Canis lupus familiaris: one gene and its partners. The protein of the gene in region 1 interacts with the protein of each later gene in a pairwise test. Links are inferred from orthologs where the notes say so. Each region holds a gene or a part of one and is shown in the gene's direction. Other genes may lie near its edges. The genes, in order: HOXA1, EGFL7, FBLN1, FAM221A, EFEMP2, NELL2 and SPRY1.

Region 1 (4,477 bases):
GTAGAATAAATTCTCCTTTGCTATAAGTAGCTTCTTATTTTTTTCTCCCCCCTCTTTCTCAAGGCTCATAACGGTTTCTTTTTCTTCTTTTAGTCTAACTTGGTAAATAAAATTCTGGTCACAATCCATCTTCTTTTTCCATTTTAATATATTTATTAAGGGGGCATGTTCAAAGTCTTCAACAGACAACAACAAAAAAGAAAACCAGAAAATGGTTAGGACTTCTGAGAAGTGTTTTTTTTTTCTTTCCTTTTTTTCTTTCTTTCTTTTTAAAGGGAATGGATTTGGTTTTTCAGTGTAGAGGTTCAAGCCATAGATTTAAATTGGTGATAGAAACAGAATTGGGTAGCCCCAGAGCTGAGCCAAGCCCAAGCTTTTGAAAGTGGCGAAATAAAGTGCCTACAGAAACCCCCAACTCCAGGAAGGAGGAACATGGAGTTTCTTTAACAAGCTACCAGTCTTCAGGTCAATAACTAAGTTATCAAAATTCATTTATTTATACACATTTGTTTCAAACATCTACATTCCAACCCCTCCCCCACAATCCCGGAAACATTTTCAGTGTGGTTGATTAGTCTCCCAGCTGTTGATGGGTCCAGGCAAACAGACCTAAAAGGTAGAGAAAAACAAAAACAAAACAAAACAATGGTTACTAGCTGGAAAATGCACTTCAGAAAGGGTTCTTTCCAATCCTTTGGTTCAGTCATTCTAGGATTCTTTTTTTCAGGGTCAGAAAAATCAATATTTCATTCTTAAATCTGTTTACATGGCAAATAATGGATCATTAAAGCTGTGAAGTCAGGTTACCAAGTTGAGATTTTAAATGGAGAGTTTCTGCGCCCTAGGTTATAAATTAACCCAGTTTCTAGAAAGAAAGAGAACAAGCACTTTAAATAAAATATCAATAAAATGTGATCTAGGGCACGTTACTGGGTTGTTCTGGTTCTTTCCCCCTTCTTACATCTCCCCATGCTGATCTTTCCCTTACTGAGCTCTGCCGCGATGGCCACTTACCGTGAGAAAACGCAGCGTGTAAGCAACATGTGTGGGGGGCGGGTTGATTTAGGAGCCCGGCTCTTAATAGCTAAGGCTCGGAAGTTACAAAGAAATCGCGATCTCTCTCCATGGGTTTGCACCCTACCTTCCTCCACCCTTTTGCCCCCTAAATCCTGGCAGCGGCCGAGGCGTGTGAGGACCCGGGCGGGTCTCCAGCTCCAGGCGCGGAACTGAGCAGGGCGGCCCGGCCGCAGCCCCGGCTGAGCCGCTGCTGTTTGCGATTCGTCCTACGCTCATAAATCAAACGCTTTCTATGAATGAGAATGTCATCAAAGAGATCAATTGCAGGAACACATGCACAAATAAAAATCCTCTTACGTATTTGCCGGGGATCCCCGTCCGAAAGCATTAAGTTAGAAGGCGTTTAGTCATAATTCATTTTTATTGCTCTTTTAAAACAACAGCTTGGCTGAGCCGCGGATGCCATGAACAGCTCCGGGCCTCGGCAGCGTTTTGTCTCCTCCTTGCTCCTTTCCTTGCTAAGAGCAGAGCCCTGGAAGAGGCGCTTTGAGCCCAGCAAGCCGCTCGCAGGTCCTCGTTTAAATAGCGATCGAGCTCTCCTCTCGCCCACTCTCTCTCCCGGGGCATTTAAAGGGACTTCAGCTCGAGTCGTGGGGCGCTGGCCTACACGCCCCGAGGCCCAGGGTCTTCTGCAAGGCGGAGTGAGCCCCAGGATTTCGTGGGGGTGGGGAAAGAACCGAGCTACGGAAGCCTTACGGGCCCGAGGCCAGGGGAGCCTGCCTTTGTAAGCCACACCGGAGAGCAGCGCTCCGGGCGGCCAACCGGGGCGGAGCCGGCTGGGCTGCGAGAGTCCGGCGGGCCGGGAGCCGGGAGCCGGGAGCCGGGAGCAGTGCGCGGAGGTGGGTCGGTCGCGGCCCCGAGCGCTTGCGGGCCTGTGTGCAAGCGCATGCATGTGGTCCCAAGAAAAACACCCCCACCCGTGCTGGCTCTGGAATGAGGCCCGGAGGGAGGAAGAGAAGTGGAAGGAGTGGAGCGCAGAGGCCGAGAACTAGCAGAGGAAGGGGAGCGATTGCGGCCCGGGGCGCTTTGTGGCGCGAGCCCTGCGGCCAAGGGGGTTGCGCAAACCCGGGCTGAAGAAGCCAACAAAGGAGTGAGGCCAGGGGAAAGGACGTCCTTTGGTTCGGAAGGCAGATCGTCCGCAATGCCAGCACGGACCCTCTCACGTTCCACCTCCTTCCCGACAGGAGCCCCTCCTCTCCCCGTCGCTGGAAGCCTGGAGCTCCCAAAGAAGCCGCCTCCAGAAGGGCCGCCTTTCCTTTTCCCTTCTCGAAGATGAACGTCCCCAGGTGCTGAAATTGGGGCAGGAGTGACCTTTCCTGTCCATGCTCTCTCTTAACCGGGGTTGGGGATAGGTCAAAGGTCATTGAAAAATACCATTTCAAAAGGAAATGTTGGGGGGGAAATGTTTCTTTGCTACTGAGGGAATCCGTAGTCTGACTTCTGCAAGAGTTTCCCCTGGGGGAAGGGGCGACTTGGGAGGGGGGAAGCCTTCTATAAGTGGAGAACAGGATGGAGAACCCTGAAAGGTTGACTAACACACTTGAAATGTGCCTGCCTCGAGCAAAACTTTCTTCTTCTAACTGGGGAAGGAAAGCTAGAGGGGAGTGGGAACCCCATCCTCAAATTACTTTTATCTGTTCGATTCCGATGTGGTACACAGGGTCAGAGACAAATCTATGCTGCATTGGCTGCAAAGCTTCTTGGATGATCTCTGGATTTCTTTTACCTAAGAATGCATCAATCCTCGGTCTCAGTTTGGCATTTTCTCTCTACAAGCCAAGGGTTGACACGAAACCTAATAGTAAACAGCAATTAACGACCCCGTCAGCATCAGGGTAGGATGAGGGTGATGGAAAACAGGACCCCTGGCCTGGGATGACGCTCAGATTTGCACGTGTCTCTCTAGGGAAAGACTTGAAGGTTCACACAAGGAACTACACAGGCAGTTACAAAGGGGAGGAGGTGTTGGGGAAGAAGAAAATATCCCGTCCACCATCAGCCATCTGTCCCCCGCCCCTCCCACCTGCCAGCCCCTACCCCCCACCTCAGACGTGCAGTAGAAAGGGGAGGGGGCGGTCAGTGGATAAAGGAGGCCCTACCACTCCCAACATCCCCCCTGCAGAAAACGAGCACCGTTGCGGGGGGAGCTCAGCGTATTTTGTTGGAGCTGCGGGCTCGCCCTTTGAGGCCCCTGCCGGAGCGCGCAGACTCCTGGGTCCGGGGGAGCCGGCAGATGGCCTGCAGCGCACCGCCCGGCCCCCACGCTGGCCACGTCCGCTAGCGTCATCTTTCTCCCCCGCCTCCAACCCTTCAAAATCCCGCGGCCGAGCTGCTCCGGATCCCGTAGGGCTCCCGGAGCAAAGCCGAGTGGGGAGGAGAAAGGGGCGGAGAGCGAGGAGAGAGGGAGGGCGAAGAGCCCGGCCACCCCCGGCCTTTTCCGGCCAGCTGAAATACTACCAATCACCCGCTCCCGGGCGTCGAATTACAGAAGCTTCTCATTGCCTTGCTAATAATGTTAGGGTGGAGGGAGTAGGGTTCGGAGACCCTCCTTGGAGAAGGGAGGGTTTTTTTTGTTTTTTTGTTTTTTTTCTCCCTTGCTCTTGTCCCCTCCACGCCCACCTGGGGTCCTGCAGGCCAATCCTCTGCCCACTTCCCTCTCCCTTCCGAGCTTGAAGAGCTGGTGGCCCAGCCTCGTCCTACGCCACTGTCCCCTGGGCTTCTCGCTGCCCCGGCACCGCAGCAGGGACTGTGGACTGAAAAGCGCCCGGGGAGCTGCCGTTCCTGCTCCGCGCACGGCGAGCTCGGGCCCCGAGCTGGTGGCAGGGCGGCGAGCTCTGGCCCGCTGGTTCCCGACCCCGGAGAGACGGAGCCCTCTTCCCTTCTCACCTCTCGCCAGTTCATCTTTCTGTGCTCGGTGGGGAGGGGGCGGAGACGGGGATGCCTCCCAGCCCCCACCTCCCGGAGGGGGGGAGAGCGCAGTCGGCGCGCGCAGAGGGTGGCGGCTGCTCCCCTTCGGCCCAGCGCTCCGAATCTGCCCCTGCAGCCGCCGCAGCTGCCGCCGCCGCCTGGGCTGCCTGGGGGGGCGACTGCGCGTCACCTAGACTGAGCAGCGCCGGGGATTTAAATGCCACTGAAACGGTGATCCATCACCGCGGGAGCCAGCAAACTTTCGCAGGAGGCTCCGCCATTGGCTGGCGGAGTCACGTGCCCCTCCCCCTGCGCCCTCCGCCCTCGCGCCCCCCCTCTTGCGCACTGTACATTCATATCATTTTTCTTCTCCGGCCCCATGGAGGAAGTGAGAAAGTTGGCACGGTCACCCAGGGCTTCGCAGGACCCGGTCCCTCAGTGACAGATGGACAATGCAAGAATGAGCTCCTTCCTGGAATACCCCATCCTCAGC
Region 2 (3,559 bases), on another chromosome or scaffold:
CGCGCCGGGGGCGGGGGAGGGCGGGAGCCGGGGCGCGCGCGGAGCTGGGGGGCGACGCGGAGCGACCGCGGGGAGCGAGAGGTGAGCGGGCCGGGCGCGCCGGGGGGCCGCGCGGGAACAGGACCCCCGGCTCTGCCCGGATCCTGCGCCCGGTCCCGAGAATGGGCCCAGGGGCCCCGGGAAAGGGCGCCCCCTGCCGGCACCAGGCTACGAGCCGGGCCGCTGGGGGATGTGGGGGCCGGGGCCCGGGCCGGGGGCGCGGCGCAGCCCCGCACCCGCGTCCGGGGCCTGAGCGACCCGCAGGGCCTGGCCCGGGGCCTCGCCGGCCCCAGACCCCGTGTCTCTCTCCATCCTCGCCCCCTCCCCCGGGGATCCGGCGTGCAGGAGGACGGGCGGCTTGGGGCCGGCGGCGGAGGGGACGCTTCGCCCCCCGCCCCCCCCCCCGCCTCTTGTCACCCGCCTTTCTGCCCTCCCAGGGTCCAGAGCACCCCCCCCCCCCGCCCCTGCTCCGGGCCGCCGCGGTGCGGAGAGTCAGGCCCCTCCCTCTGCGGAGCCAGCCCTCCCGGGTGGGCCCCCGCGAGCTTGCAGCGCGGGCAGGTGGCTGGGGAGGGAGGTGGCAGGATGGGCTCCTGCTGACCCTCAGGGAGGAGGGGACACAGTTGCTTCTCAGCTGCGGCGCTGCGGCCACCCGCCCCCCCACCCCCGCCGTATCTCCCCCGCCCAGCTGGGCTGCAGAGGGAAATGAGACTGCCAGGCCAGCACCGGGGAGGTAGCGCCATTGGCCTCCTGCGGCCCCAGAGGGCAGGACTTGAGAAATTGAGTCTCTCCTGTTTTAAAGCATGGTCCCCTTGTAAGCGGCTTTCCATGAGCAGGGCAGGTGCTAGGGTGGTATCCGCGGGGCAGTTGGCCTCGCAGAGTTGGGCCTTACCCAGCGCAGGTAAGCACAGGGTCTGTGGAGCCCTGCTATGCTCCTACCCAGCTCCCCCTCCCCCACCCAGGGCCCTGGACCCACCCCTACCTTCCCAGCCCTGTGCCACCTGTTCCTGTAGTTTCAATTCTTGCTGAGACCCCTAGGAGTGCCCCTAGTCGTGTGCTCCCCCTGGGCCCGTTCCCAGAGCACCCTGACCCACAGGTCATGCCCCTGCCCCGAACTGCTGAGAAGCACCCCACTGTCCCCAAACTAAGATCTGGCACCTTGGCTTTGCTGCTTGGGCCACCGACAGAGAACAGAGGGTCCACAGAGGACTCCTCCCGCCCCCCAGCTGCCTCCCGCCTCCCCAGGTCCATGAAGTGCAGGGGACCGGAGCAAGGATCCACTGCCTGCCGGCCATGTGGACCCTCCCCTTGGGCTTCGGCTTGGCAGGCCGGAGGGCTCAGTTAGTGCCCATGGTGGTCACTCTTCATGGGGCCAACTATCAGGGCTGGACAAGGGGCCTCTGAGACCCTAGTGGTATCTGAGGGAACCGAGTTCCAGAGACAGGGCGACCCTCCCCTGATTCTACCTTCTGCCACACAGCAAGCAGTCCAGCTATCCTCTGTGTCCTTCCTGCTGGATGCCCTGCAGGGCCAGGGGCTGCCCACTTGGGTGGAAGTCAGCCCCTTGGGGGCCTCTGATGGGGTGCCTGGAGCCTCACGTGTGCACGGCAGCACCCCCCACCCCTATCCCCAGCCCACCACACAGGCCCCTCTGCAGGTAGGCAGGCAGGCAGGCACGGCAGGTAGGCAGGCAGGCAGGCACGTCGCGGACCATTAATTCTGGGCTGGGCTTTCTCACATTCTGAGGAATGAATGCTTCCTCAGGTCCCCCGCGTCCGTGCCCCTTCCCTAGGACAGAGGGATGGCTTTGGCTCCACTGGCATGTGGGGAGGGCTGCTCCAGTCATCCCCTTTCCCCCCACACTGTCCTGGGAGCCCTGGACCAGACCGGTGGGACCCCAGCATAGGAGTGACTCCATCTCGTGCAGTCTCTGCCCCACTCTGAGAGGGACCATATGGCTCCTCATATGGAGCACCTGCACCCTTCATACACTCCCGTGCCTCCCCCGTGGCTCCCCGTTGCAAATGAAGACACTGAAGGCCAGAAGGCCAAGGCCCTGGGCTGGCTGTTCCCACCACCACCACCCATGTGCAGACTGACGTGGGACTGCCCGGCCAGGACACAAGGGCGCTATGTCCAACCAGGGCAGGGAGAGCTGGTCCAGGTGCTCTCCTGGGCCCCCACCTCCTCAAGTGAACTTTGCAGGAGCTGCAGATGTTGCCTCTGGCCCCAGGCGGGGGTCGGGGGGGCAGGGGTGTGCTTCTGTTCCTGCCATCGCGGCCCTTCTGTGGTTCCAGGCTGCTTGTGACCTGCAGGGGCAGGCAGGTTGCAGGAGGGGGAACTGCCTCTGTCTTTGGGGGCTTCCCCGCCCCCCCAGAGGCCGCAGGGGGTGGTGCCAGCAGAGAGGCTACACTGGGCCAGGGAACAGCCTCCCCCAGAGGCACGGGGTGAGGAGGGGTCTGCAGATGGGTTTATGGGGCTGTGCCTTTGGCTGCAGGCCACCCGGAGGAGAAGGCCGTTGCACCTGCAGACGTGGGCCATGTGTGACTCTAGGGAGCTGCTCCTGCTGTGGTTTCTGGTGCTGGCAGTGGGTGGCACTGAGCACGTCTTCCGGCCTGGGTGAGTCAGAGCCGTGGGGGGCTCGGGCCTCAAGGTGCCGCCGCGGTGGGGGTGGGCAGCCAGCTGCCCTCAGGGCAACCCCAGGACTCGGGGAGCCAGGGCTGGTCCTGTGGTTTTCACACTTGCTGAGAGTCTTTCCTGTGGTGGCGCCAGGAAGCCCCTTCCTCAGGTTCTTGGCTCCCTTGGTTGCGGGGCTGGGAGGGTCTGGGCGCAGGGCTGGAAGCTGTGGGACTGACTTGCTGGCCTCCCCGCTCTGTAGCCGCAGGGTGTGTGCCATCGGGGCTCCCAGGGGCCCTGAGTCTGAGTCTTTTGTGCAGCGAGTGTACCAGCCCTTCCTCACCACCTGTGATGGTCACCGGGCCTGCAGCACTTACCGGTGAGTGCCCCTCCCCATCTGCCACTCGGCCACCTGGGGCCCAGGAGGGCAGTGTGCCCCAAGGTGGGGAGCCCGGGGCCCAGCATGGTCACAGGGACTCCCTAGGACCATGTGAGTAGATGGCAGAGGCTGACACCCGCTCTGCACTGGGCGGTCTTAGTAACTACAGGCGTCCTCACCGGGGTGCACTTGTGCTCCCCGCATCTTTGGAGGGTTTGCCCTCCCTGTCTCCTGCCCTCTGCTTTTGGGGTGTTGGCTACAAGTTCTTACATGTTTGAGATGATGGCTGCCTCCCCAGAAACCCGCCTCAGAGCTCCAGTGGGAGCCTCTCCCCAAGAGGCCCCTGATGGTCACAGATGGAGACCCTGGTGCCACAACCCACCCCCCCAACCCAGGCCATTCTCATGGCCTAACCGCCCGTGTGAGGGGGCATGTCTCCTCCAGTCCTGAGCTGTGGAAATATGGTTTAAAGATGTTTTGTTCTCTGTGGGGGTCTCAAAGACCTTCCCGTGGGGTCCCCTCCACTGG
Region 3 (3,789 bases), on another chromosome or scaffold:
GTGATGGCAGGGCTACGTCCCTCTGAGGCCGCAGATCCAGGCTGGGCTCTTCTGGCTTCTGGTGGCCTCGCGTGCTCCTTGGCTGGTGCATCTCCTGCCTGTCTTCACGTCATTGCTCCTCCGTGTGTGTCTATCTCCGGTTTCCCCTTTCTTTCTTTTTTTTTATTTTTTTATTTTTAAAGATTTTATTTATTCATGAGAGACACAGAGAGAGAGGCAGAGACACAGGCAGAGGGAGAAGCAGGCTCCCTGCAGGGACCCTGGTGTGGGACTCGATCCCGGGACCCCAGGGTCACACCCTGAGCTAAAGGCAGCCGCTCAGCCGCTGAGCCACCCAGACATCCCTCCTCTTTCTCTAAGGACACAGACACGGCCTCTCGGACCCCACCCTAACGCCCCTTAGCTCCGTCCTCTGCAAACAGTCTGCTCCAGGGAAGGGTCACAGCCATAGGTGCTGGAGGTTAGAGCTGCACCATCTTTGTGGGGGGAGACCCCATTCAACCCATGACAACAAGCCTTTACCAGGTGCACCGTTGAAGGTCTGGGGGCCGTGGCTGCATTTGCTGAAATAGGCAAGTGAGGCAGGTTGCCTGACCCCCATGCCGTTTGGGCACCGAGCTCCCCAAATGGGCACAACTGCCTGCTATTTATAAGGAGGGGGAGTATTTATTCCGGGTTTCTGCAGAAACGAGATGAGACACCGCGTTTGGGTAAATGTCCCTTTTGCCCCTCTTTCCCCTCAGCCAAGATTTCGGAGATCGAGGAGGAACAGGAGGACCCATACCTGAATGACCGCTGCAGAGGTGAGGCCCTGGTAACCGTCCCCCACCCCAGGGGACACGGCACTAATCCCACTGGGAGCTTGACCTCTCGTTTCACTCGGGTTCTCCTGGGAAGAGCCCTTTGGCTTGGAGTCCGCTGAGGTCCCTCTGCCCCATCCCCCCGGCACTCCTGGGCTCCCCACCTCCTCCTTCCCTCCAAGCCTGGGACTGGTGGGTGCACAGGGAGGAGGCCACGCGGGAAGTGGGCATCACAAGCCTCCCCACTATGGCGACCCCCTAAACACAGGCTCCGGGGAGGGGGACCATCTGGGGAGGGGTGAGTATTGCTTGACTTTGTGTCCTGGAGCCCCAGCAGTGCCAGGGACCGTGTCCACGTATCCGTGTCTCGCAAGGGAGACGTTTGCAAACGTAAAGTGAGCACAACGGGCCTGGCAGATTTGTTTTTCAGATGATAAAACTTTATTTCTCTTTCCCGGAGCATTCCCACATGTCTAGACTGGCAAGTCGTCTCCAAAGCTTCATTCGGAGCCTTGCCCTGCCTGTGGTTGGAGCGTTAATTGGGAGCCAGTGTAATCACAAAATGATGTGGTCAGCGCACAGGGACAGTTGGCACAGGGGCGGGGTGGGGGGTAGGGGTGGGACTGGTGGAGGGCAGAGAGCCCAGAAAGCTCCCTGGGGGTGTGGGGGTGGGTGGGAGGGTCTTCCTGGGGGAGGAAGTAGCTGGTTTGCGACGAGTGAGGGTGGACGGAGATTTGGGCAGCAGGAGCGGAGACGTGCACACCCAGACCCACCGCAGCTGGTGGGCCATGGTGCAGGGAGGGGTGCGGTGGGGGCAGAGGGAGAGGCTGGGGAGGCGGGCCGGGGTCATCGGGCCCCGGGCAGTGGTCAGAACTGTGGTAGCGGCTCTAGTTGGTGGAGGTTTGTCCCGGGGAGATCTGCTCTTTGAGCATCACTCAGCTGCCCCGTGGGAAGCATGGGTGGAGGGGAGGTAGCAGGGCCACCCAGAAGGCCATCACAGCTCACCTCTGCAGGGAGAGGGGCCTCACGGGACTGCCCCTCCGTGTCTGTGCTGGGCACGAAGCCAGCAGCATCACTGGCTTCTCCGCCTTGTCCCTCCCAGCCTCACTACAACCGGCAGGGATGGCCCTGCATGCCGCCAGCTTGTTGGACCAGGGCTCAGACCTGAAGCAGCAGCCCTGGGGTTTGCCCAGGGCCGGATCCTGGGGGTCTCCCATGAGAGGGGAGGGGGTACGAGGCCAGAGAGGCTGGGCTCCACGATGGGGAGCCTGCCTTTGTATGTTGTCCACCCTGAGTGCATTTGCTCTGGCCCAGTCCAAACAGAACCGGAAACCCAGAAGGTCTCTGGTGTGTGTTGGGCTCCTGGCTAACATTCGCTCTGATTTGCTCTGATCCCAGGCGGGGGGCCCTGCAAGCAGCAGTGCCGGGACACGGGCGAGGAGGTCGTGTGCTCTTGCTTCGTGGGCTACCAGCTGCTGCCTGACAGCGTGTCCTGTGAAGGTAACGGTCACTGAGCTCCAGCGACAGCACAACGGCACGCAGCCGCACTGGGAGCCTCGGCCTCCGATTGACACCTGGGCAGGCCCCACTTGGCGCACGTCGGGGCCCCATCTGTGGGTGAAGAACAGCATTCCCTGGAGTCTACAGCGCGTGGCGCCCAGCCACGGCTCTCCTCCAGGAACATATGAATACAGTGTCGGGAAAGAGGGTTGGCTTTGGGGTCTGACCAGGCTCTGGCCCTCAGCAAGTCCCTCAGCCCCTCTTGAGGTGGGGGAGATGGAGGCAGGTGATCGCTTCTCCTGGGGGAGGCCTTAATGATCACATGACTCCAGTTCGGGGCCTGGCATGTGTTTAGCAGGTGCTCAGAGGGAGCAATAGATCTGAGACGTAGCAGGGGGAGGATGCCATTGGTAATGAGTGCCCAGGACCCCTTCCATCCCGAATATGCACGTGGCGGAGGGCACTTCACAGATGCTGGGACCCAGTTGCCCCATGCTTCTGGTACATTCCTTTTGTTAAAGCTCAGGGGGGCCATGGTTCTGGCTGGTTACTCCTGCTTTGCCTCTGTCTCTCCTAGATATCAATGAATGCATCACGGGCAACCACAACTGCCGGCTCGGAGAGTCCTGCGTCAATACGGTGGGCTCTTTCCGCTGCCAGAGAGACAGCAGCTGTGGGACTGGCTATGAACTCACAGAGGACAATGACTGCAAAGGTATAACATGCTCCGAGCCTACACACCTCAGCTCCCCAGGAGTAGATAGGATGTGCTGCTAAAGGCAGCACCGGGCTCCCCGGGCTCTGGGCTCCCTTGGCGCCCCGGGGCCCCAGGACTTCCTGGGGGGGCACTGGCCAGCTATATTGTTAGTAAAGATTTACCTTCTTTACTGTAAGGTTGAGTTAATGACAAGGGTGAGTTTGCACTTCTGAAAAGGTTCAGGGCAGGATCATTTCAAAACAAGAGCAGAGGTGAATTCCAGGTGCTCACATGGACTTTCTACCCACCACGCAAAAAAAAAAAAAAAAAAAAAAAAAAAAAAATTTTTTTTTTTATACAACAGCTGCCTTCCATCTGACTCCAGGCTTCCTTGAAGTTCAAAGCATAGTCTCTTCCGCTGCATAAAAACATGACATTTCTGGCTGCTGGCCTTTTCCCCACCAAGCCATAGATGTTATTTGGCAGATAAGGCTTTGATGAGGATCTATTAGAACATAGTTTTCTTCTGAGGGTTTCCAGCCCTTCAGAATGACAAAACCACTTGTGTGAACATTCTGGTTGAGTTACGAGGGTAGCTCAAAAGCCAGGCACACCCTCCTGACGTCTGAGGGCCTTTGGGCCGGCTCACTTTGCTCCACCCTCGCTGGGCGGCTTGGGCCCTGAGAACCCAGGGACCCAGCCAGCTGAGTATACACTTTTGAACATTTGACAGCCACGAACTTCAGGGGAAGAGCAGCCAACATGTCTGATCATGACAATCCCCATTGTTCA
Region 4 (4,302 bases), about 3.0 Mb from region 1:
TTAAAAGATTTTGTGTATTTATTAGGCAGAGGGAGAAGCAGGCTTCCTGCGGGAAGTCTATGTAGGACGATCCCAGGACCCTGGGGATCACGACCTGAGCCAAAGGCAGAGATGCTCAACCACTGAGCCACCCAGGTGTGCCAACACTTAAACAAACAAACAAACAACAAAAGTTAAAACCATATATAGTATTTTAATGAAAAGGTGTCATTTTCATAAAATGTTAGAGTAATATTTTCTATTTTGTTCCATAGTGTTGTCAGTGACTTCTTTGGTCAGAGTTGACTGGAAGAGCCTACAACTGCATTGTCTATTTTAATTATTTCCCTCTAGACTCATTAACTTGTACTTGCCTACATAGACACTCCCCTGCCAATTTTTTATCAGCTCACATAGCCTGGCACTTTCTGCTATATTTGTTAAGTTAGCTGATTTACATTGCCGTTTTAAAAAATTTTTATTTTAATTTTTGAAGATTTTATTTATTTATTTGAGAGGGTGAGAGAGCATAAGCAGGGGGAGCAGCAGAGGGAGAGAGAGCAGGCTTCCAGCTGAGCAGGGGTCCCCATGGGGGGCCGGATGCCAGGGCGCAGGGATCATGACCCGAGCGAAGGCAGGTCATGCTTAACCTTCTGAGCCACCCGGGCGCCCCACATCGCAGTTTAAAAATGTTTATTTATTATTAATTTTTTTAAATTGCAGTTTTTTAAATGCCAATTTTGAAACCACAATATCAGCGAAAAGCTCTGTACAAAGAACTAAGCCATGTTCTGTGCGTCCGCGATATGCAAGGCATCGCACTCCCTCGTCACTTGTTACCCTACAAGGAGAGCTGCGAGACCCGGGAAAGGGAGAGGCACCCGCGCCAGGTTGGAGCCTGCGGTAAAGAGCAATCCGGGCGGCTCGGGCTGCTCTAGGGGACGGGTTTCTCCCGCCGGGATGCCACGGCCAGGTGGAAGCGCGCACCCCGCGCCCCGCCGCGGTCCTCGGCCCGGCCAATCCGGAGGCGGGCGGCAGGGGGCGTGGCCGGCAGGGGCAGGCCAATCCGGAGGCGGGCGGCGGGGGGCGTGGCCGGCAGGGGGCACGGCCAATCTGGAGGCGGGCGGCAGGGGGCGTGGCCGGCAGGGGCAGGCCAATCCGGAGGCGGGCGGCGGGGGGCGTGGCCGGCAGGGGGCACGGCCAATCTGGAGGCGGGCGGCAGGGGGCGTGGCCGGCAGGGGCAGGCCAATCCGGAGGCGGGCGGCAGGGGGCGTGGCCCTCAGGGGCGCGGCCAATCGGGAGGCGGGCTGCCGGGGGCGCGGCCGGCAGGGGCGGGCCCGGCCTCGCTCCCGGGAGGCCCGCGAGCCGGCGCGCCCATGGCCGCCTCTCGCTTCCCCGGACGATGGAGCGGCTGACCTTACCTTCCGGCGGCGCCGCGGCCGTGGACGACTACCTGGAGTACCGGAGGTGAGGCTGCGGCTCGGCGTGGCGAGGAGAAGGCAGGCGGGCCGCGTCCCCCGCGCCGGAGGAGGCTCCCGGAATCTGATCCCCGGCTGTTGCGGGAGGCTCACAAACCTTCATTGGAGTTTCGTCTTTTTGTAATATTGTAATGACACGTAGCTCACCGTAGTTGCAATAAGTCTCTCCCGAGGCTGTTTAACAGATCTCCCGCTCCGACCCCTTCCAGGAGGGATTATTAACTCTTAGATTTGTGCGGAGGTGCAACTGTGTTTTTCTAAGTGGCCTGTGACGAGTTACGCTTGGACTGCTCGGGCCTCGTCGTTTGCATGGTGGTTTAGCAATAGGGTGTGTCGTGAGCTTCCAAATGCTCCCAACCCCGAGGTGCTGGTTTTAGGAGAAAGACTGGTGGTGGTGCGGGGGTTCCCGAGAAACTCCTCTCACGGAGATGGAAACATAGCTGCCGCTTTGGTTTGAGGATGCGACTCACTGCCCTGGGCCCTGACCAAGGCTGATGCACCTGCGGAGACATGTTATTTTTTCTGGTCTCCCCAAGAAAGGTTTTTGGCAGTTGGGAGACTGGGTGAGTGGGAGTTCCTGGAGAGGGACCAGCAGGAGCATATGGCTACGGTTGAAGGCGCCAGGGGCGTCGGGGTCGGGGAGGAGGAGAGGGGAGGCCGTTTGGCCAGGGAGGGGGTCGGAGGGAGGAGAGTGTGTGTGTGTGTGTGTGTACACGGGAAGTGAGGCAATCACTGCCCCGCCTGAGAAGTCTGAGCAAGAGGGGGTGCTCTGCTTAAAGACGGCCGCCCCAAATCACCCAGGGTTGCTAGGACAAACGGCTTGCTTAGTTGGCCTCCGCTCCTTCTGATGGTCCCGGTGGAAGTTTTGGGTAACACCTAGAAACGGTTGGTAATTCTGAGCCAGATAAGTAAGAATGAGGAGCTTGGTGAGTCAGGCTCATCCCCCCGGGTCTGGTGGGTCCAGGTAAGGCCGTGAGTCCTGTGCCCAGAACGGTTTCCACCCAGTCCTCACCAAGGGCAGGGCCGGCTCCTTTAGCCTCCAGGGCTTTTTCCTGGGAGTAAGTTGCTGGGCCTTGGTGTTGGTTGATTACTTAGATAATTAGTTTAGATAAGTGGACTGTCAGCCTCCAGATATGGTCTCTTGTCTGGTTCAGAAAATGTCAAGACCTGGTGGAAAATGATTTTTGCAAATACAGTTACCTGGAAGAATTCACTATAAAAGTTAGAGCCTTGCCACTCAAAGTGTAGCAGTCATGGACCAGTGGTGTAGGCCTCACTTGTGACCTTGCTAGAAATGCGCACTCTCAGAACCACTCCAGACCTATTAATCAGGATCTGCATTTGAACTAGATCCCTCGGGGATTCTGTAATTACTGTGAAGTTTGAGCTGTGCTGGCTTGGCTTAGCAAATACAAATGATCTCTATCTTTAAAGACCTGTATTGATTTTGATTTTTTTCAGTACCTATTGGTAAACTTCATGACAGCTATTATAATGTGAGATGACCCAAAACTTTTCTCAGAATAAAATCCCCCCCCCCTTTTTACTATTGTGTTTCTAAATTATTTAAGTAAGGAAGAAGGTTGTGATGGCTTCGTAGCTTCTGCATTGGTTTTATTTATCTACCTCAGCTAAAGGCTTGAAAGTATGGAAAAAGTATGGATTGCACAAAAAATTAAGTAGCATCCTACAAACAAACATCTTTCATGACTTTTAAGGGGTGATATTTTCAAGGAGAAATTTCTTCAATTCTGAATAAATTATTTTACTTGCGCTTCCTTTTTCTCCAGGGATGTCAACTCTTAATTTCTTAAGAAATTAAGAAATAGTGGTAGCTTAATTTTTCCCATAAAACTTTAAAGTTGATGTTTTGGAATTAAACAATGATTATCCTGGGATCCAGGGATCATGCCCTGAGCCAAAGGCAGATGCTCAACCTCCTGAGCCACCCAGGTGTCCCAGGAGTACTATTTTTAAAGAAGGGAAATATTAGATTTTTTTTAGCAGGTTAGGCATCAGCTTTAATTTTTTTATTTTTTAAAAAATTTTATTTATTCATGAGAGACACAGAAAGAAGCAGAGACATAGGCAGAGGGAGAAGCAGGCTCCATGCAGTGAGCCCAATGCGGAGCTTCATCCCAGGACCCAGGATCACGCCCTGAACCAAAGGCAGACGCTCAACTGCTGAGCCACTCAGGCATCCCAGGCTCCAGTTTTTATTGAAAAGTGTGAACATGTTTGCTTCAGAATCAAAGGAGAAAATGAGATTGAATTTGCGGTAATTGTTCGGTGGTAAACCTGGATCAGTAAAGTCAGATGTCATGAGTTCAAGAGTTTTTTTTTTTTTTTTTTTTAATAATCCTCTTTTACTTGGAAAGCAAAAGCTTTACTACTATTTTTTTTAAAAAAGTGTTTTTTGTTTTTTGTTTTTTTTAAGATTTTGTTTATTCATGAAAGACACAGAAAGAGAGAGGCAGAGACATAGGCAGAGGGAGAAGCAGGCCCCCTGCAATGTGGGACTCAATCCTGGGACCCAAAATCACAGCCTGAGCCAATGGCAGACACTCAACCGCTGAGCCACCCAGGTGTCCCAAGCTTTACTAGTATTGTGTGTAATTTTGCTATTAACATAAGCCTAATGTAAAAAAAAAAAAAAAAAAAAAAAGCAAAGCTGAAGCAGCATTTCCTTTGACTTTATAAGCATAGTTTAATTTTAGTTTAGTGTTTTTAACCTAGAAAATAAATATTCAAGGCTTAAAATAAATTTTTATTGTTGTAGAATAATAAATATTCAAGGCTTAAGAGATGTTTTTATTGTTGTAGAATTGTTGGTGATGACGATGGA
Region 5 (2,592 bases), on another chromosome or scaffold:
TGAATTGAGAGGCTTGCCCTTGGCCCAGAGCCCTCATCCCCACTCTTCCTCAGATATTGATGAGTGCAGCTACTCCAGTTACCTCTGCCAGTACCGCTGTGTCAACGAACCTGGCCGCTTCTCCTGCCATTGCCCGCAGGGCTACCAGCTGCTGGCCACACGCCTCTGCCAAGGTACAGGTTGCCCCAGTGGAGCAGGTAGGGTGGTATCGGGGGCTGGTGGCCTGACATCTGGGTTCCAGCCCCTTTCCCCTGATGCAGACATTGATGAGTGTGAGTCAGGCGCGCACCAGTGCTCTGAGGCCCAAACTTGTGTCAACTTCCATGGAGGCTACCGCTGTGTGGATACCAACCGTTGCGTGGAACCCTACGTCCAGGTGTCTGACAAGTGAGTCCATGGGACACCAGACACCCGCCCCCACACCCCCCGCCCGCAGAAACTACAACTCTCAGAGGGCTCTGTGGCTGACTGGCTGCTGTGCAGGCTGTCTAGTGCTCCAGGGCCTATGGGAATTGTAGTCTTTCATGACTAAACCATGCAAACAGTTCTAGAAGGAGTGGGAGAATCCTTTGGGGATACCTAGTTTTAGGAATGGGACCAAACTTGGGGTATAGGCCAGGACCTCATTTGTGTCCCCATTTTGGGGTTTCTAGTCGCTGCCTCTGTCCGGCCTCCAACCCCCTGTGCCGGGAGCAGCCCTCGTCTATTGTGCACCGCTACATGAGCATCACCTCAGAGCGGAGTGTGCCCGCCGATGTGTTCCAGATCCAAGCAACCTCTGTCTACCCTGGCGCCTACAATGCCTTTCAGATCCGTGCAGGAAACTCGCAAGGGGATTTCTACATTAGGGTAAGGCTTTCCCCTAATTGCACCCCTCAAGTGACATGCATAATCCAAAACTGAATTCCAGAAAACCTTAAGTGGGAGATTTGGCTCTACCCCTTTTCTCAAAGCCCTGTCCCCCCAGGAGGTGGAATTTCTGCAGAAAGGTAGGGGTATTCTAAATTCCCTTGCTACAAACTAACAAACTACAGGTTGTTAAATGCAGTTCCAATGAGGCACTTGGACACTGGGGTTTGAGTCCTGGCACTGGTTTCCATATCTGGCCTCTGATTTGTTCACTCTTAGAACAAGGCACTGGCATGAGAAGCCTGCCCAGGTAACAGGACACAACAGGGTCTGGGGAACACAAGCAGATGGAGCTGGGCCTTGGAGAGAGAGGCAGCAGGGGTTGGTGCAGGGGTCTGGCATCCAAGAATCCAGCTCGCTGCTGGTGGAGCTATTAGGGAGAGATCCAGGCATGACTCACGAGGAGAGGGGGCCAAGGGTTTATCTGATATTAGTCCTTGTTTTCTCTTTCTGCAATTGGATGCTCTGAAGGGAAGTCAGCCAGCTCCAGGTCACCAAAGACCCCACCACTCCCAAAAGTTTCCCACCTGGCCTTGCATCATCAGTTGACCCTGATTAGACAAAAGAACTAGATGGAAAGTGTGGGAAGAGCACCAGTGGGAAATTTCTGAGGGCAGGAGCCTGGGTGCATCAGTGACAAGATGTCAAGGGTATCAGAGCTGGATGAGAGCCTGGGGTCACAGCCTGCTAGGACTCTCCATTTCACAGCCAACTGATTGTGGGCTCAAGATATGGGATGGGGAGGTGAGGCTGGGGCAGGGGTCTTGGCATGTAGGTTGACACAATCTACATGTCCCCCACCCACTATGCCCTGCAGCAAATCAACAATGTCAGCGCCATGCTGGTCCTCGCCCGGCCTGTGACGGGCCCCCGGGAGTACGTGCTGGATCTGGAGATGGTCACCATGAATTCCCTCATGAGCTACCGGGCCAGTTCTGTACTGAGACTCACCGTCTTCGTGGGGGCCTATACTTTCTGAGGTGGGGGTGGGGAGCCCTCAGGGAGGGAGAGGCTTCCTGTGGCCCAAGAGCCTGGGGCTCAGGGATGACTGTGCTCGGCTGCAAGGGCAGATGCTGTTGTGAAGAGTAGAAAGAGAAAGGCAATAAAGGGAGAAAGAAGGAGTCCTGGTGGCTGAGGTGGGTGGGTAACACTGTAGTGAACCCCTGGACTGGGGAAGTGGCCAGGCTGTGGGAGGCAGGCCAATCACCTAAAGGGGGGTATCTCCATTCGGGCTCAGGGTGCCCCATAGATAGAAGTTGGGAACTGTGTCCCCAAGACCAGGATTGATCCATGTACCATGCACATCAGAATCGGTCTGAGAATGGAGGAGATGATAAGGCTACAGACTCCAGGGACCCAGCCCAGGAACTGGAGTTTGGTTTATAACTCTACTGTAGACATTGGAGGCCTTGGGTTCTAATCCCAGTTTGGCCTCAAACTATCAATTTGACTAAACCCTAGTAGATTCTTTCTGGGCATCAGTTTTCCAATCTATAAAATGAGGCAATTAAGATTAGTGCTTTCCACATATTTCTTTTCCAAAACACAGAACTTATTATGGAAGGATATTTGATCCTATCAGGGAACTCTGATGATATAAACTAGATTCAAAGTTGTAACGCCTCACTGACTCCATCTCCTTGGTGGTCTCAGTGCTCTCCCAGGGAACCCCAGGGTCCTTAG
Region 6 (4,414 bases), on another chromosome or scaffold:
ATAATCTGAGCCTAGGTGTATCGATCAACACTAGTCAAGGAGACTGGCAGGTGTTAGGTGGGTAGGTTGGTCCCTCCCATTACATGAACTCCCACCCTGCTGCTTCTGGCCCCCTTAACTCAGGATGAGGCTCCTGGCCCCTTGGAGAACCAAAAATACCAACACACAGATGAAAGTTCTGTTTGGGCATATCAGATGTTCTAAGAGGGGGATTAGATAGATAGGCTACCTTCTGATGTTCATGAGAAAGATTAAAAAAATCTATATCCAGAGTACAAAAGACAGCAGTTTTAGGAGCAGTAGGTTTTCCTGTGGCATCTCATATTTGGTCTGGCTCTTATTGATCTGGAGTCTTGGTAGGTGGAGGTGCCAGATTTTATTTTCTTTTTATTTACTTATTTATGTTTAAAGATTTTACTTATTTATTTATGAGACACACAGAGAGAGAGAGAGAGAGAGGCAGAGACACAGACCGAGGGAGAAGCAGGCTCCATGCAGGGAGCCTGACATGGGACTCGATCCCGGGACTCCAGGCTCAGGCCCTGGGCCAAAGGCAGAAACGCTCAACCGCTGAGCCACCCAGGGATCCCCAGCATTTTATTAAAGGCAGCTAGGGACAGCACTGAATGATAACCGCCCAGACTCTCAGAGATCCCAGTTGTATTAGATTGAATAAAAATAACAAGTAGACCTTCCTTCCATCAACTGTGTCCTATTTCTGAAGCACTTTGTATATCAGACTCTATATTTTACAGGTAAGGTTAGAGAGACTAAATATATTGCTCAAGGTATCATGCCAGGGGCAGCCCGGGTGGCTCAGTGGTTTAGCGCTGCCTGCAGCCCAGGGTGTGATCCTGGAGACCCAGGACCGAGTCCCATTTGGGGCTCCCTGCATGGGGCCTGCTTCTCCCTCTGCCTGTGCCTCTGCTTCTCTCTCTCCTCTCTGTGTATTCTTGAATAAATAAATAAAATCTTAAAAAAAAAAAAGATATCATGCTGGGAAACAGGGAAGCTGGAATGTGGACACCTATCTGTCTGGTCCCAAAGCCTGGATACATTCTGTTCTTTCCTGATTCCGACCTACAGCTTTTCTCCTTCAGGGCAACATCCTTGGGCATATGGGAAAAACCCAAATACATGTCTAGGTAGGAAGGTTTTTCTCTACTAAGCACGCCTCGCATCATTGACGCAGAAGCATCTTTGTCCAGCTCCAAATGCCAGAGGCCCACCCCCACATCCATTGGGGGTGCCTCTACTTTGGGCCCCTGTCAGGTACTGGCTGCTGTTTGGAACATGAACCTCATGGTGCAGCCGTTTCCTTCCACTGCCCCTAGAGGGCAGCCTGCAGGACCCAGCCCCCCCCACCCCACCCCCACCCAGGGCCCTCTAGCTCCGACCTTCCCGGGGAGGGGGTGGGGGGGATCGATGTTCCCAGGAACATTCTCCAGGCCCGGCAGGTGTTGCCCAGGGAAGCGGGGCCGTGTGACACACCTCGAGTCCCCCCCACCCCTCCTTAGCTTCCCTTTGGTGCTCCTGGGACACGGTCATCAGCCCTGCCCCAGCTCCAGGTGACTTCTCAGACCTGCCAGGTGTGCACTCCCGGATGCTACAGGGTAGGTTCTCTCACTGAATTTCAGGAAGGACCAAACACAGGTACCTAGAGGATGTGGCAGCGAGTCCAAAATTCACTTTGGTGTGTTCCACCCCAAAATGCACAGGGTGGTTTATTTAAGTTGAGTCCCAGAAGCAGCTCTGGGTTCCCCCAAGGTAAATATTTAAATGTAAATATAAATAAATATCAGTATCAATATTAAATATTATAAATATCAAGCTACTTAAATATCGTTCTAGTTACAATCTTAGGTTACATAGGGTAGTAGAATTATGGCTTTTTTTTTCTAGGGGAGTTTTTAGCTATCGAGTATATTTAAATAATATTGGCAAACTACCTAGTTTAATGCAGGGATGCTATCAAGGTTTTTTTTTTTTTTTTTTCCTCATGATTTTCATACAATCATGATGACTCAGCAGTTATTTCCTTGTTATTTAAAATCACGACTCTAAGTTATCATTATTTTGACATCTAGACATATGAATATGTGTCAAATATACTTTAACATGCGTATTTTGGTTATCAGGTATAGACACTAAGCATACATCACTCCATTTCGCTGCCTCCACTGGAGTTTACTGTTTTATTAATACGCGTGAAATAGATTAGTTTATTTAGAAAAGAAAAAATAGCTGCTGCTCTGAAGTGATTCAATAGAAAAGACTTTGTCAATACGTCCATACAGAAAAAGACGTGGATTCTCAATAAAATAGGAAATGACGTTACCATCAGGCATATTCTGTTTAAAACTACCCTGTTATTCACTTAACTATTAGAAACAAATCAAGGCGAATTTGGTTCGCTGAGAAAATATCTACAGGGTGAATCAGTACAGTGTTATGTGCTGTAAAGATGTAAATAGGAATATGGCCTGATTCCTGTCCTCGATGCTCGGGTGGGGTGGGGGAAATAAAGGCAAGTATCTAAATAACTTTTTAAAAAGACGTAACGGTGGAATGCCATTATCTTAGCAAAAGGAACTAACAATCCTAGAAATAAAAAAGAGAAACATTACAATTTAGATAGTGCTGGCAATGCTGCCCATCATTCCTCCCAGTGATTGCCTGGAGTGAGCGTGACAGGAAGCCTGAGAATCTTTGGTGCCTTCAGTTTGCCTCTGTTCTGGGTGTCTCTCAAGTGCGAGCATATCACTGAGCTGAGTGTGATTCTAATTTTTAAAGATATGCATATATGCATTTTTCATATAAAATGGACCCTAAAAGCAAGCCAACTACTTCATCTGGTGCTCAACCAAAGAGACAGGAATCTGTTCCAATGCTGGAGGAAAAACTGGCTGTGCTGAACCAGCTCGTGGTCTCCAGTGGAGGTCCTGTCGAAGGACTTTTCCAGGGTAATTTTGGTTATTCATGATTTTCTTGTGTCTGATTTTAGAGCCTGAGAGATGTGACTCTGTTGTAAGATATGTATCTTTGGAGAAATACACACAGCCTGAAAGGGCCTTGGGTGCCAGGTTAGGAGGTTTGACTTTCTTTAGCCATACAGTTGGAGCCTGTTAAAGGCTTCTGAATAAAGGAGCTTATGATACCAGGTTTCGGAAGATCAATTTGAAAATCAATTCTGGGAGCACCTGGGTGGCTCAGTCAGTTGAGCATCTGCCTTCGGCTCAGGTCATGATTTCAGGGTCCTGGGATCGAGTCCTGCATTGGGCTCCCTGCTTGGCAGGGAATCTGCTTCTCCTACCCGCCCCCACCCACCCCCCTGCTTGTACGCTCTCTCTGTAAAATAAATAAATAAAATATTAAAAAGAAAAGAAAATTCTAGGTGGACTGGAAGATGGGAAAACTGAGACAGAGAGGCACTTGAGAAGCTTTTATGATCCTAGAGAAGTAATGATTGTCAGGTCTAGAGTGGAGGTGGAATAAGTTAAACTTTCTGACTAGGATGGATAAGAAATAGAGATTTTAAGTTTGAGTGACTATGAAGTTGGTGGCTTCTTCTACAGAGTTAAGGAAATCAGAAGAACTGGTTTTGCTTGGGAAGATGAGTGGGATTTTAGATAGAATGTGAGATAACTATTGGAGACCTGGGTAGAAATAAAATGGTTCGTTGGACTACATTCTGTTTAGAAACAGCAGTTGAAATCACAATAATAAACAACATGGCTAATGAAGATTAGTCTCGTAGAAAGCAGGGAGAAGTCCTGCTGTTGGTTCTTGGGGATTACCTATCTTTGGAGACAGGAGGAAGAAAAGAAGCCATTAAGGACACTAATGAAAGAACATTATATATATATATATATATATATATATATATATATAATGTTATATAGATGGAGTAGGTATTATATATACACATATATATACACATTTATATATATTTATATTTATATATATATCGGGAAAGAGAATTTTAAAATAATTTTAAAGAGTTGAAAGAATTTATTTTATTTTATTTTTTTGAGTTGAAAGAATTTAAAAAGCAGTTAAATGTTGCTAAAAGTTCAAGAATTATATGGAATATAATGAACTAATTTTGGGGTAGAAGGAAGAAAAGAAAATAATAGGTGAATAAGAGGTTTCCTTTTTTTTTTGAGAAGAGATATTTTTAAAAATAGGACAGAGGTGAGATAATTTCAGGAAAAAGATAGCAAATGATTTTAAGTGCTTCTGAAATTTCAAGGAGAGATGGAAGTTTAGACCTATAATTAAGATATGTGGTCTATCCAAGGATTTTTTTTTCTGATTTATAAACTCGTGTGAGACTAACAAATATATAACCATCAGCTCATATTTACATGCAAATAGTTTATTCTCTATTTGCTCAAAATATTTTTATTTATTT
Region 7 (4,226 bases), on another chromosome or scaffold:
CCAAGAAACCTATGCATCATTGGTTAAACTTCATTGCATCCCAAAATATGAGATCTAAGAAAAAAGAAAATATCTACAAAATTGATTTTATCCTTTTACCCTATTTTTTGGGTTTATAGTAAGAGTGAATATGTAGCCTTTTGGCCTCATTCTTTTTTTTTTTTTTTTTTTTTTTTTTTTTGCTTCATTCTTGTTTTATGTTATTTTCTAGGGATGCTTTCTTCTTGTTGATGGTCTTAGCAATGCCCTAGCTTCCAAAAGAGGTTAATCCAAATACAACTTTAATGTTTTAAAGTGCTCAAACATTGAAAGTCTAGAAAACACTAGTTTCAACAGAATCATTTGTTATAGTAAAGAAGGAGCTTAAGCATTGAAAATTCCCATACCTAAATTTATACATGGTTTAGATTCTGGAGTTTTGTTTTGTTTGCCTTATTTTGTCAAAGACTAAGCTACTTATATCTAGTACCTGGAAAAAATACTTCTCTACTTACTATATATATTTTTGCTTTTTAGGTATTTTTTAAAAGGCTCTGTGGAGCCTTAACTTTCACATATAGTTCTCCTCACTGCAGCATAAAGTACACAATTTTTATAATAAATGTCTAAAATCCCATAATTTGTAAGAAAACAAAAGGTGAGTTTCCTACTGATTAAAATACTTTTTCCCCCCAGTAACACAACACATATCATTAAGAATTATAAAACTTCTTGGTAAATTATTTCTATTTTAATTGATTTCCAGTTGGCTGATTTTTAAAAATAAATGAGTTGGTTGCAGGTTTTTTTTTTTTTTTCCAAAATTATGGAAATCAATTACAAAATTGAAGGAAGTTGGGATTTTTAAATTCGATTTTTAGGAAATTATATCACAAGACAAGGTAGAGCACTTACTATAAAATCTACAGCAGGAAATTTCACCTTTATGAGGTAACGTTATATACATTTGCAGTAAGGAGTGTCGCCTTTTGAACTTTCACATTTCACACATTCTGAATTTGGCTTTAAATAGTAACTGTAACGTTACATTATCATCTTCTTAATATCAATATACATTTTCTCTCTAGCTGATCAGAAGTGTTGGCTTGGCATACGACTTTTTTTTTATCTTCTTTTATTCCTCAAAACTATTTTCTAATTCAACCTTAAAGACAGTGTCCGCCAATCCTTTGACTGAGACTGATGACGAAATTTAAAGGGTTCTTCTGTGACAAACTGCACTTGTAGGGTCTTTAGAGGCCATCTCCAATTTTTAGAGGATGTTTATCACCCACGAGTGTACAGGGCAACATTTCCAAGTTGGTACAGATGCACGAGAGAGGAAACGACAGTTGGAGAAATCCTGTTCCAGGTTTTCAGGCAGCCCGAATGATTGACATATGATATCACTGGAGGCGTGTCCTGGAGTGGAGGTGGAGGTGGAGGCGAGCTGAAATTCTGCGGAGCTGGAGTGGGATTGCTCTGTAAGGCACGCAGTGGTTTGCAGAGTGATAGCAACAGACAGAGCTCCTTACCCTGGATAAGGAACAGCTACAGTCGCTGTAAATGTGCCTGAAAAGCAATTTCCAATCTTTGCGTTAGGTAAGAACTGTTTCCTTCCTTTCATTCCGTAGGTATTTTAGGAAAGCTTAGGTGAGAAATGCTGGCTTTTGCAAGGAACTGAACATTTCTTTGAACTCGCTTTAGATCTAAGATTACTGGTTGCATTTCAAATTACCAGTAGCATTCCCAGTGCTAAAACGAATGCTCTTTAAAAAAGTAAACGCTACCGCTAAGAGGAAAAAGTAGGATCCTTTTCTTTTCTTTTCTTTTTCTTTTTTTTTTCCTTATCCGAACAAGTCTGAAGTCTGAAACGGTCGGTTGTGTGAAAAACAGGGTGGTTTTTGCCGAAGAGGGGCTGGCACTCGGTGTGTGGACCAGTACATGTTGGTTTAGGCATTGTTGGCGACCGAATCCCGAGCGGAGCGATTGTTTAAAACCTGAATTTCCCGTCCCCTGTGTATTGATTTCCAATGCGCAGAGGCGTTGCTTGAACGTTGTTTGAACTCCTGGCATTCCAAGGGGCAAAAGCACTTCGGCAAAACGTGCAAGACTGCATGTTACTTTGGTTCGCTGCTGACACGCCGACTGTGCGCCGGCCTGTCAATCACTGCGAGCAGCAACAGCCAGCACATGGCAGCGGGGCTGCGGGCGGCGGGCGGCGGGCGGCGGGCGGCGGGCGGGCGGGCGGGCGAGCTGGCGGGCAGCCCACCCCGCTCCCCGCTCCCCGCTCCCCGCTCCCCGCCGCCCGCGCGGCGCGTCCCGCTGCCTGCAAAGAAAGGGAAATTAATGTGCTGTTGTGTTTTGTTTTCCAATCGCCGATCCTCGGGAGCAGGCGTTCCGGCCGTGGAACCGGAGGGTCGGAGGACTGGGAGCGCGCGCTGCCCGGGAGAGGCGGACCCGCCAGGACCAGAGTCCCGGGGGCCGCTGTGCCCCCCACTTGCCCAGCGCGCGGGATCGGGAAAGTGCCTCGACCTGCGCGGGGGGGGGGGGGGGGTGCACGAAAGACGACGCCCCGCCTCTTCCCTTGGGAGGAATCCCCCCCAACCTCGCACCCTTCACCGCCACCCCTAAAACAGCGGGGCTAAAAAGCAAGACAAAACAAAACAAAAAAACCCAGAATATCCCCCGCACCCCGCCCCCGGGGGAGCCGCAGCCCCAGCCTCGCGGGCGTGCGCTCCCGGGCCGCGCCGGGGCCTGCTTGGTTCCGCGAGGCGCCCGGAGACGCCGGTTCGAGCCCCGTCCCCGGCGCCGCGGAGTCTCGAACGCCCGTGACGTGGGCTTTTCAGTCGTCGGGGGGCCGCCTCCTTCCTCGGCCGCGGGGAGCGCTCGGACCCGAGGGAGGACTGTCGCAGAGCACCGCGTGCCCCGGGGGCCCGGCCCGCGCGCTGGTCTCTGCCGTTTTCTGAGACTCGAGAGCCCTCTCGCAGGGGACCTTTTTTCCCCTTCCTGTTCTTTCTCTCCCCCCCCGGCTCGCGGGAAGGGGCTGCGGGAGAAGCCCGAGGTGGATGCGCCCGCGCCGCGCGGCGGGAGGGGGGTCCGCAGGAGTGTCCCCCGCAGCCGGGAGGGGGGTTGGCCCGGCCTCGCGTCCTCCCCGCCGCGCCTGATGCGGGTCGCGCCGCTCCGGCCGAGGTGAGTGTCCCGCGGCCTCCGGGCGCCGGCGGGGGGCGGGGGCGGGGGCGGGCGCGGGCGCCGCGCGGCAGGTGCGGGCCCCGGGGCTCGCGGCCCGTCCCCTTGAAGGGACGCCTCCGCGCCCAAGCGGGACTCGGGGCGCCTCGGGGGGTGTTGCCTCCGAGGAGCTGCCTCGCGCCGGCGGCGGGCTCCCGGGCGGGCTGTGGGCGCGGACGCGGCGGGGGGGGCGGGGGCAGGCGGGGAGCCCCGGAGCCCCCCCGCCGTCCGCGCTGACCCCTGCACAGAACCAGGCTGCGCCCGAGCCCGCCGCGCCTTCCTCCGCGTTTGGCGGGGCGAGGGGAGGGGAGGGGAGGGGAGGGGAGGGCGCTGCCGCTTTAAAAACGGGAAGTCCGCCCTCCTGAGGTAATGGTAACCTCAGCCTCCTCCCCTCCTCCTGCCCTGCCCGGAGAGAGGGAGCGAGCGAGAACTTGTTTTCATTCATAACTTTTTCCTTTTCCTTCCTCTCCGTCAACTATTTATTCGCCGCTCCCCTGCGCTCGGGTGCAGAGGGCGCAGCTCCGCCGCGGCAGCTGGCGGCGCCGCAGCACAGGGGAGCCTGCCCGCTCCTCCACGGGCGAGCTCGGCGCCCGCGCAGCCCCGGGGGCCCGCCACGCTCCGGAGGAGGCCTTGGGCGGCGCGCGCGCCGGGGCGGGCTGGAAGCGCCCGGGGCTCCCGGGAGGGCGCAGCCGCGAAGGTAGCGGCCGCCGAGGCCCGTCCCCGCGGGCGGCGCAGGTTGCCGGGGACGCACCGGGCGCCGGCGCCGCGGGGCACGGGCCGCCCCGCCTCACACCCGACGCGCCGCGCGGTCTCCCTGGCCGGGGGCCTCCACGGACTCGGGTACCACGATCGCGTGAAGCGCAGCGTCCAGGATGCGCCCGGCGCCCTCGCCCCGCTCCCCGTAGGCTCCGTGCTCCTGGGCGTGTGGGATCTGCCCGCGTGCCTCGGGATGCTCCGCCCCGCGAGCGCCCGGCTGCGAGCGCTTTGCAAGGAGGGATGAGGTCTGCGTGTGCCGAGGC

The links.
Region 2: the proteins of HOXA1 (region 1) and EGFL7 interact in binary tests that used the Homo sapiens proteins (3 or more experiments, as listed by UniProt). The link is inferred for Canis lupus familiaris from reciprocal best matches to the Homo sapiens genes HOXA1 and EGFL7.
Region 3: the proteins of HOXA1 (region 1) and FBLN1 interact in binary tests that used the Homo sapiens proteins (3 or more experiments, as listed by UniProt). The link is inferred for Canis lupus familiaris from reciprocal best matches to the Homo sapiens genes HOXA1 and FBLN1.
Region 4: the proteins of HOXA1 (region 1) and FAM221A interact in binary tests that used the Homo sapiens proteins (3 or more experiments, as listed by UniProt). The link is inferred for Canis lupus familiaris from reciprocal best matches to the Homo sapiens genes HOXA1 and FAM221A.
Region 5: the proteins of HOXA1 (region 1) and EFEMP2 interact in a two-hybrid assay, tested with the Homo sapiens proteins (2 studies listed by BioGRID and IntAct). The link is inferred for Canis lupus familiaris from reciprocal best matches to the Homo sapiens genes HOXA1 and EFEMP2.
Region 6: the proteins of HOXA1 (region 1) and NELL2 interact in binary tests that used the Homo sapiens proteins (3 or more experiments, as listed by UniProt). The link is inferred for Canis lupus familiaris from reciprocal best matches to the Homo sapiens genes HOXA1 and NELL2.
Region 7: the proteins of HOXA1 (region 1) and SPRY1 interact in binary tests that used the Homo sapiens proteins (3 or more experiments, as listed by UniProt). The two-hybrid records come from large-scale screens. The link is inferred for Canis lupus familiaris from reciprocal best matches to the Homo sapiens genes HOXA1 and SPRY1.

Annotation. Positions count from the first base shown.
Region 1 is NC_049235.1:40,366,162-40,370,638, reverse strand, and holds the start of HOXA1 (homeobox protein Hox-A1), read left to right. Parts: upstream 1-1,461; 5' UTR 1,462-1,758; coding exon of another isoform or gene 1,759-2,408; exon of another isoform or gene 2,409-3,777; coding exon of another isoform or gene 3,778-3,890; exon of another isoform or gene 3,891-4,032; coding exon of another isoform or gene 4,033-4,151; exon of another isoform or gene 4,152-4,244; coding exon of another isoform or gene 4,245-4,265; exon of another isoform or gene 4,266-4,373; 5' UTR 4,374-4,429; coding exon 4,430-4,477. Other genes in the region: WAS/WASL-interacting protein family member 1-like, read right to left, coding at 1,759-2,408, 3,778-3,890, 4,033-4,151, 4,245-4,265. UniProt on the Homo sapiens protein: Sequence-specific transcription factor. Regulates multiple developmental processes including brainstem, inner and outer ear, abducens nerve and cardiovascular development and morphogenesis as well as cognition and behavior.
Region 2 is NC_049230.1:48,880,276-48,883,834, reverse strand, and holds part of EGFL7 (epidermal growth factor-like protein 7), read left to right. Parts: intron 1-23; exon of another isoform or gene 24-81; intron 82-2,533; coding exon 2,534-2,655; intron 2,656-2,914; coding exon 2,915-3,031; intron 3,032-3,559. UniProt on the Homo sapiens protein: Regulates vascular tubulogenesis in vivo. Inhibits platelet-derived growth factor (PDGF)-BB-induced smooth muscle cell migration and promotes endothelial cell adhesion to the extracellular matrix and angiogenesis.
Region 3 is NC_049231.1:21,495,921-21,499,709, reverse strand, and holds part of FBLN1 (fibulin-1), read left to right. Parts: intron 1-743; coding exon 744-803; intron 804-2,198; coding exon 2,199-2,300; intron 2,301-2,877; coding exon 2,878-3,015; intron 3,016-3,789. UniProt on the Homo sapiens protein: Incorporated into fibronectin-containing matrix fibers. May play a role in cell adhesion and migration along protein fibers within the extracellular matrix (ECM).
Region 4 is NC_049235.1:37,402,432-37,406,733, forward strand, and holds the start of FAM221A (protein FAM221A), read left to right. Parts: upstream 1-1,305; 5' UTR 1,306-1,381; coding exon 1,382-1,446; intron 1,447-4,280; coding exon 4,281-4,302.
Region 5 is NC_049239.1:51,895,896-51,898,487, forward strand, and holds the end of EFEMP2 (EGF-containing fibulin-like extracellular matrix protein 2), read left to right. Parts: intron 1-53; coding exon 54-173; intron 174-260; coding exon 261-387; intron 388-653; coding exon 654-849; intron 850-1,726; coding exon 1,727-1,888; 3' UTR 1,889-2,030; downstream 2,031-2,592. UniProt on the Homo sapiens protein: Plays a crucial role in elastic fiber formation in tissue, and in the formation of ultrastructural connections between elastic laminae and smooth muscle cells in the aorta, therefore participates in terminal differentiation and maturation of smooth muscle cell (SMC) and in the mechanical properties and wall integrity maintenance of the aorta.
Region 6 is NC_049248.1:37,245,550-37,249,963, reverse strand, and holds the start of NELL2 (protein kinase C-binding protein NELL2), read left to right. Parts: upstream 1-1,548; 5' UTR 1,549-1,613; intron 1,614-4,414. UniProt on the Homo sapiens protein: Plays multiple roles in neural tissues, regulates neuronal proliferation, survival, differentiation, polarization, as well as axon guidance and synaptic functions.
Region 7 is NC_049240.1:17,792,848-17,797,073, reverse strand, and holds the start of SPRY1 (protein sprouty homolog 1), read left to right. Parts: upstream 1-1,414; 5' UTR 1,415-1,581; intron 1,582-4,035; exon of another isoform or gene 4,036-4,226. UniProt on the Homo sapiens protein: Inhibits fibroblast growth factor (FGF)-induced retinal lens fiber differentiation, probably by inhibiting FGF-mediated phosphorylation of ERK1/2. Inhibits TGFB-induced epithelial-to-mesenchymal transition in lens epithelial cells.